Mus musculus: one gene and its partner. The protein of the gene in region 2 interacts with the protein of the main gene of each other region in a pairwise test. Links are inferred from orthologs where the notes say so. Each region holds a gene or a part of one and is shown on either strand. Other genes may lie near its edges.

Region 1 (3,813 bases), on a different chromosome or scaffold from region 2:
GTCTGGATGAGTCATGGAAACTGTCAGCCCACTGTTGATATTTCTCATGTCCCAGAATTGGACCAAGTGCCCCAAGCCATCTTAACCAACCCACCTGGCTTCGACTTTCTTCAAGGCTTTCTGTCAGCTCTGCCTGTGACAGTCTTAAGTACTGGCATTCCTCATTCACACGTTCAAGTTCAATTTTCAGGTTTTGGATTTGATCACCCTGTTTATAAAAACAAAACAAAAACACTTTCACAATTATAAGCAGAGCCTGACACAGAAACAAACCAGAAAGTTACAGACACGAAAAAACAAGATAAATGATCTCCCATGACCCTGCGAGCCGAAGGACCACACTTAATTTCTTTCCCCTCTTCTATAAGGTGCACATCTAATGTGAACGCATATCAGAGAGCATATAGTGTCCTGCAGTGCTGCCTTCCTTAAGGAACCTGGATCATTCCCAAACACTGTTATTTGAGAACTCGGTATCTAATGGCTGCACCATCATCTACTCGTTCACCTACTGCTGATGTTCAAATTGATTCTGGTCCTGTTTTCCTATTATAAACAGGACATCAATAAAAATACTTCCAGATAAATCCATAATGCATTTAGAAGCAGCCTTCACAAGCAAAATTATAAAGCCAATGTACAGGGACGTTCTTCGGCTCTTGCTCTTTATTTTACTTTAGAAAGCTGGAGAACCCTACCACTTACTCTCCTGAGAACTGCAGGGACACAATTAGCTCCCCTTTCTACATCCCGGTGGCTTTGCCAGAGCTGTCCAGGCGGGTCCATTTCTCGAAGAATTGCCCTTTATTTCACTTTTGGGGGTACTCACCTAACTGCTCAGCCTCCACTACCCAGTGGGCCCTCCTTCCACCCACCCACCCACCAAGGTTTGTGGGACAGCCTAGCCCCTGACCTGCTGCTCCTCCCGGCACCCTGCCTCCTCCAGCTTCTTCATTAACACCTGGATAGCACCGTGGTTCTCTTCCTTCTGTGTATGGAGACCAGAAGGCTCTCCTTCCAGCTGAAGGACCCTGCAGTTGAGCTGTGACATTTCATCCTTGTACTTTTGAGTCTATAGCAAAAAGAGTTCAAACACATTTTTATGTACATGTTATGAATTTATTAATGATTTAACTAAAGTAGGAAAACCTTTCCTTAGCTTCAGCTCCAAAGGAGAAATGTACCATAAATATATACAAGAAGTTGAGTCTAAAGAGCAGGATGTATCCAGGACCTAGAAGGTTTCTGGGAATCTTTCCCTGTAGCTGCTTCGTTCCTAAACATCATTTTTGTCTGAAGAACTTTTTTTTTGAGCATGAGCAGAAATTCACACGTCACAGATCACTATGAACAGAAACACGTGTAGTCTCTAACTCCCAAGCCTCCAGGAGAAAGAAACACTGATCAAAGTAGTTCAAGTTCTCCCTCTCAGTCTTCTCGGCTATGCCTGATGCACCCAGGCCATTGGTACAACTGAAGCTAAAGGGAAATAATTACGGATTGTGAGGTGTTGCCAGAGGAAGATTACCAAGGCTTGAACAGCCAGCCAGCCTCTATGCTGTCTTTATATATTTACCGGAGAAATAAGGATATGAATATGGAGGTCAAACACTCGTTTAAGAAAATGCTTCTAAATGTCAGCTTCATTCACATCATTCCAGAATTCTCCAACCAGGTGAGACTTTACTTGCTGTGTGCATCCTGCAACTCCTGGAGACATTTTGAGTTATCAAAGAAGCCTGACAAGTGAGCAGAGGCTGTACACAGAGCGCAGGGGAAGATCCAGCTCAGTCAGTGGCCAGCAGAGCTAAGAACTAGAAACTCCAGTCTGTCCTGTAAGATGAGACAACCCAGCCCTCCAGAGGCTGTTATGTGCTACAGCCACCAGACTACCCTTCTGATGCCTTCTAGACTTTATCATTCCCTCCAAGGTTATTTTAAAAATATATTAAGCAATTTAAAAATAATCTAAATATGGCTGAGGAAATGGCTCATTTGGGGTGAGGTCTTTGCAGTGTAAATCTAAGCACCTAAGTTTGGATCCTCAGCACTAGCTTGAAGCTCGGCAACAGTGTGCATCTGTAGCCCAGCACTGGGGATGAAGGTGGGACCATCCTACAGGCTTACTGGCCACTCTAGCCAAAACAACAAGCACCAGGTTCAGTGAGAGACCTTGTCTCAAAAATTAAGATGTAAAAGTGGTTGAGAAAGATACTCTTCATACATACCTGCATAGGTGAATGTACCACCCACGTGCATATACAATGCAAACCAGAGTAGTCCGGAAAAAAAGTTTGAATGAACTTAAGGTATGAGAATCTTTTAAAAGGGTCCCTACCAGTTACTAAATACACAAATGCAGCTTTCAGAAGGAGGAGGGAGTGTCTTCAAGTTGTGCATCTTGCTTGCCCTAACAACCACTGTCCTACAGAGAGAATGGATGAAAGGGTGAAAGGTGTAGGTACAAGCACAGTACAGAATGGCAGCTCACAAGTTGGCCCTACATCATTTTTTCACCATGGAAAACCTAACCACTCAGATTATTAGGAACTATTGTTTGTTTTAATAGGAGGGCTGTTTTTAACAAAACAAAACAAAACAAAACAAAACAAAACAAAACAAAACAGATTACCATCATACAAAACACTTCTGTTTCCACAGCATCAGTTTGGAGTCAGTGTAACCTATGATATACTTGTAGGACTGCTGGTCACAAACACCTCTCTAGGGATCCACAAAACATCATGCCAATTAAACACATGATGGAACCTAGGATCTGCTTCAGCTGTGGTCCATGCCGTTAGCATGTTTCCACATTGTTCTCGAGTTCTCAGTAATTCATGTCACTCCTCCCTTCTGTATAATCTCAGACTGAGGTTAGCACATAGCTGCTGGCAGGCTAGTATGAGAATGTCTTGCTCCAACAGTATGTTCTTTGGCAAAACTTAAAGTCACTTTCAGTATTGATATACACTCACATTGTCTCCCAGGAAAGCTCTGATTTCATTAACAGGAATGAAATATTCCTCTCCTAGGATAGTATTTAAAGTCTCTGTAAATAACACTGAACTCAGAGCAGTCTAAAGAATAAGCTCACCCTTTCAACCAGGCACCCATGATGGCATCTTCACCGACTGGTATGCCACTCTTGCCAACAAGCACCGTGTATGACTGCACACATATTCACATGCACACAGATGCACACATGTCCTTGCCTAGTCCCATGGTGTTTCCTGAGGACAGGAACACTCCTCACATCGTTGTCACCACTCTAGGTTCTGCTTCAGGACAGCAGCCCTGGTGGCTCACAAATCCCAGTTTTGACCTCTGCCCAGTGACAGTTTTCAGCCTTTTCCCCAGCAAATAATAACCTGGTGCCTCCTATGATGCTGAATCATCCTTGAATCTAGGGTGTTGCCATGGCTTCTTACTGCTGGCATTTCTGACAAGTAGAACCCCAGCCCCTTTACTAGTTAGTCATTTGGAGTTTATCTGATGCTTCCTGGTGACTCGGGTTGTACGCTCCCTGGAAGGTGCCTAGACAGGGTCTTAGAGCCCTACAGATGCCAGCAACATCTGGGAATAAGGCAACTACCATCCAAATTTCTAAGTTAAATCTTTAGCTTTCTTTGTAGAATTTGCCTCCTGGGTTCATATAAAAATAAAGGGATATTCATGTCAAAGATGATTCTACTGGGTCTAACCAACCCTTTTGTTCAAATTTCTTCTGATCTTCAAGTCACACAGACCAAAGTAACATAAGACCAAACAGCACGGCTCCCTGAGGAAGCAGGCATTAGATGTAGAACAGGG
Region 2 (4,353 bases):
TTTCTCCACATGGATGTTATAAGTGCTGCTGGAAAGGAATTTATACTAAAAACTAAATAGGTATTCAAACCGGGCTTTTTAAAAATTAGATTTATTTTACTGTATGTGTGAAAGTTTTGCCTGTATATTGATCTCATACACGCCCTCGGAGGTCAAGGGAGGTTGTCCAGTCACCTGGGACTGGAGTCATAAGCGGTTGTGAGGCTTGAAACAAGGTGCTTGGAACCCAGTCCTCTACAAGAGCAATGAGTACTCTGACCAGCTGAACAATCCCTGCAGCCCCACGTGTCAGGTTCTCAGAAAAACGCATGCCACACCCTAGCCATAACTCTCGGCCTCTGGAAGGGTGATGAGCCATGAAGATTACTTTACCTAGTAAGCACTGACACGTGCTCTTTTCTAAGCTGGACAAAGAGTACTTGCTGAAATCACTACAACTCCTCAAACTCAGTCCTACTATCTTTGGCAGGAAAAGGGAGTGGGACAGACGAAGGACTGAACTCAGGGCTTCCCGGCAGTAACCACACCCCACTGAGCTATAGCTTAGTCCCAGGCCCCAACGCTTTATTCAAAGAATAAGCTCCCTGGGGCCAAGTATGTTTGGAGTTACTAGATTCTTACAGAGGACACATATATCCTGTGATTAACAACCCACACTAAAAACATTAATATTTTCTAGCAAACAGAAATTTAGTATCACACTACATGAGGCATATAAAAAAACTAAATAACCTAAGGATAGATTAGGACAGATTGGCCATCAACCAAGTTACCAACATATTTACATTTGGGTTTTGTTGGTTTTGAGATAGGTTCTTGCTATTTAGCTCAGGCTGGCCTGGAATTTATTATATAACCCAGGTTTGCCTTAAGCTCAAGATGAGCCTCCTGCCTCAGCCTCCAGGATGCCAGAACTACAGGTGTGTATCACTATACCCAGCAAGAACTTACATTTTCTTCTTCTTTTTGAGTCAGGACACCCCAGCATATCAGCCATGTGTACCTCAAACTATAGAGATCCACCTCCCAAGTGCTGGAATTAAAGGCTTGTACCATAACATCCAGGAAGAATTTACATTCTCCACTTTTACATTTGGAAACTGCTAAAAGGAGACTAGATCATTCCAACAAACCAGTAGGTCTGTCTCTTGTATTTGGTATGCCTGGATATAAATACTACCTGTCGAGCTGATGAGATGGCTCAGCAGGTTAAGAGCACTGACTGCTCTACCGAGGGTTCTGAGTTCAAATCCCAGCAACCACATGGTGGCTCACAAACACCTGTGCCCTCTTCTGGTGCGTCTAAACTCAGCTACAATGTACTCATGTATAATAATAAATAAATCTTTGGGCCTGAGTGAGCAGAGGTCCTAAAAATTCAATTCCCAACAACCACATGAAGGCTCACAACCATCTGTACAGCTACAGTGTACTCACATACATAAAATACATAAATTAATCTTTTAAAAAAATACTACCTGTCAACTCTGGTCATTGCAAGAGACATTAATGTAAATATTTAACTTGGAAAGCTTCCATGAAGAGTGATCTCTGCAGAAATATGAATACCAACCGTCTATCCATCCAAATATTTCATTCAAAAATCTGACCACAAGTAAATAGAGGCACAGAATGTCACTAAAAGGCAAACTTTAGGGTCATCTCAGCCAAAGACCCTGACACCCGTCCATGACCTATCAATTCTGCCTGGCTTAACCCTGAAAATCAGCTCTTTACTTATTTCCCACGTTAACGGCTTTCTTACAGTGTATACAATTTCAAGCAGAGACTGTATGAACTATGGTTCTTTGTGTTCTTCTCTCAACAGCGATAACCCTTTAAGCCAGTGATCACGCATACTTTTCGAATTCCTAGCAACTAGCACGTAACACTGCTCTTTGCATTTTACGACTGAACATATGGGGCAAATGTCATACAGTTCAACAAACATTTACTGACCAGGAAATGTCAAACTGAACAAATAGGTGGAAGACGGTGACTGAGACGCAACAGGCCTGCGAGCTATCCCTTGGGGGTGGGCGCTGGCTTTCTAACCACCCATCCTCGGCTTTGTTGTAATCCCCCCACCAGGAAAGGAAAGTGGTCTTCCCAACTCGCCTTTACAACACCTATCGCCATCTCTATCCGGAAGGGCGGGGCGTTGGTCGCCCCAATCCAGGCCTTGCTAAGCCGCACCCGCCACAAGAACAGACTGCAAAGCTGGGCCAATAAAGAGAAGGGAGAGCATTCGCCACAGCCAGTCGGAGAGCACCGGGGCCAGACCGAGACACCGCCCACGCACGCGGGGAGGTGACCGTTGGGCCCAAACAGGCGGCGTCACCATCCAATCAATACGCTTCTAGACATTTCCGCGACCAATTAACAAGAACGCCTCCGATCCGGGCAAGCAGAGGGCGGGAATAGTTACAGGCATAGGCCGAGGCCAGGGTCGGGCCCACATTTTTCTGTCTGGTACCGAGAGGAGACAGAGTAGCTAGGCTAGGTTCGGGGGACCAGAAAGTTGGAACCCAAGCACGACGAGGCGTGGCCAACCGCGTCACGTTACTCAATCGACTCCCCTTAGAAACCCGCCATCCCTTCTCTGCCATTTCTCACCTTCCTTCGCGGCATTGCCGGCGGCTGCAGCCCGACGGTTCCGATTCGGGCGGCGGCAGCACCAGCAGGAACGGGGGCTCCGGCGGGCTCCGTGGCGGCCTCTGTAGCTGTCCCAAACCCTGCGGACGATCCCAAGTGCCTCCTACCTCTCAGCGTCTAGAGCCTTCTGCGCAAGCGCCGCGGGCTGGAAGCGCCTATTCCTTAACTTCCGGCTGAGGCTTGCGTCACCTGACCTTTAGGCCAGTGAGGATCATGGGAAGCTCGAAACTCTTAGTGAGGCCAGTCAGCGCCATTTTGGAATTGGGCAGGAGACGGCACCAGTGGTGAAACCTTCGGCTAGACCTTTTTAGTTAGGTAGGCGGCATTCGTGTGGGATTAGGTAGCCATGATTGTTTGGGGCAGAAGTCTGGCAGTTGAAGGTAACCGTTTTCATCTTTACATTGGGCAAACTCTTCCTTCCTCGTCGTTTTAATTTGTGGCGTGGAGGGAGGAAAACCCCAGAATCCATCAGGTTGTCGATCTTTAACTCTTTCATTTCCTAGTCGGCCGAAGGACGTTTCCGTTCATTCTGTAAACTCCGAACTGGCAAGAGATATTTTGCCCAAGGAACTGCTGTAAGAGCTATTCCGTGTTCCGGAGTGGTGTGAATGGGGCTTGAATAAAGGATTGACAGGGTCGTTGTCGGTCTTGAAGTGGGGTAGAGTGTTCTCTTTATGCCTTGTCCTTGCGTTAAGAGAACAAGAAGTAAGTTATGAGATGATGCAGAGCCATTCTCAGGATGCCGGAGCGCCAAAGAATTTCCAGTTTATCTCTGTTGTGAAACGCCCCCGGCTTATCAGTGCTCTGCTTTGGTTTGAGATCTTTGGGTGGCCCGGAGAGGGGCGGAGGACGTGGTTTGAATGTGAGGGTGCTGTACCAAAAGTCGGAGAAGTGTTGAACCTCATTCAGCCCGTGTGACCTCTGTAGCACAAATGCAAGAGCCAAGAACTGAGTGGAGAGAGAAATAGTATTTTGAAAGACACTAGAAAGGGAGTGGGTATTCAAGTAATAATAAAAGGCCATAAGAAGAAGAAATTAAGACTAGAAGAAAGAGCTATACGAAAAGTCTGGAACCAGGTGGGGGGGTGGGGGTGGGGGTGCATGCTTTTTGAAGCAGGCAGATCCAAATCATGAGCTTACGGCCAGCCTGGTCTACATGGCCAGTTCCAGGCTAGATCCTGTCTCGAAAAAGAAAAGTCTGGAAAGTGGTTTGTAGGCCTTGAAGTTTTAGCCTCAGAGGACTTGAAAGAACCAAGGTGAACCAAGAGTGACTTGCTGGAATCAAAGCAACCTCAGTAATTACCAAGATAGAATTCTGGTTCCAGATTTGTGTGTGTGTGTGTGTGTGAGCTGAGCACGCACTCATGACCAGGTGAGTGCTCAGAGGACAACTTTGGGGAATAGATTCCTAACTTCCACCTTTGTGGTGTCTCTGGGATCAAACTCGGGTCATCCAGCTTGCTGAAAGAGCAAGTGCTTTTATCCCCTGAACCCCCACAGGCCCCTATCAGAATTTCCATTTGAGGCTGGCTAACCTGGAGAGAGGCTTTAAGAACAGAATACAAACCTGATTGACATGCTAAACAGAGGACTCTTCGGAGTTAAAAAAATTCCAGACCCTTAGCCCACATTCCCTGGGGCTGGGGGTGGGGAATAGCTTAAGCCATTGTTGACGCCATTAGCATTCGGTATTTTGCT

Evidence for each region.
Region 1: the proteins of Kat7 (region 2) and Ninl interact in a two-hybrid assay, tested with the Homo sapiens proteins (2 studies listed by BioGRID and IntAct). The two-hybrid records come from large-scale screens. The link is inferred for Mus musculus from reciprocal best matches to the Homo sapiens genes KAT7 and NINL.

What each region holds. Positions count from the first base shown.
Region 1 is NC_000068.7:150,939,759-150,943,571, forward strand, and holds part of Ninl (ninein-like protein), read right to left. Parts: intron 1,073-3,813; coding exon 914-1,072; intron 209-913; coding exon 95-208; intron 1-94. UniProt on the Homo sapiens protein: Involved in the microtubule organization in interphase cells. Overexpression induces the fragmentation of the Golgi, and causes lysosomes to disperse toward the cell periphery; it also interferes with mitotic spindle assembly.
Region 2 is NC_000077.6:95,307,419-95,311,771, forward strand, and holds the start of Kat7 (histone acetyltransferase KAT7), read right to left. Parts: upstream 2,829-4,353; 5' UTR 2,632-2,828; coding exon 2,617-2,631; intron 2,281-2,616; exon of another isoform or gene 2,140-2,280; coding exon of another isoform or gene 2,119-2,139; exon of another isoform or gene 1,960-2,118; intron 1-1,959. UniProt on the Homo sapiens protein: Catalytic subunit of histone acetyltransferase HBO1 complexes, which specifically mediate acetylation of histone H3 at 'Lys-14' (H3K14ac), thereby regulating various processes, such as gene transcription, protein ubiquitination, immune regulation, stem cell pluripotent and self-renewal maintenance and embryonic development.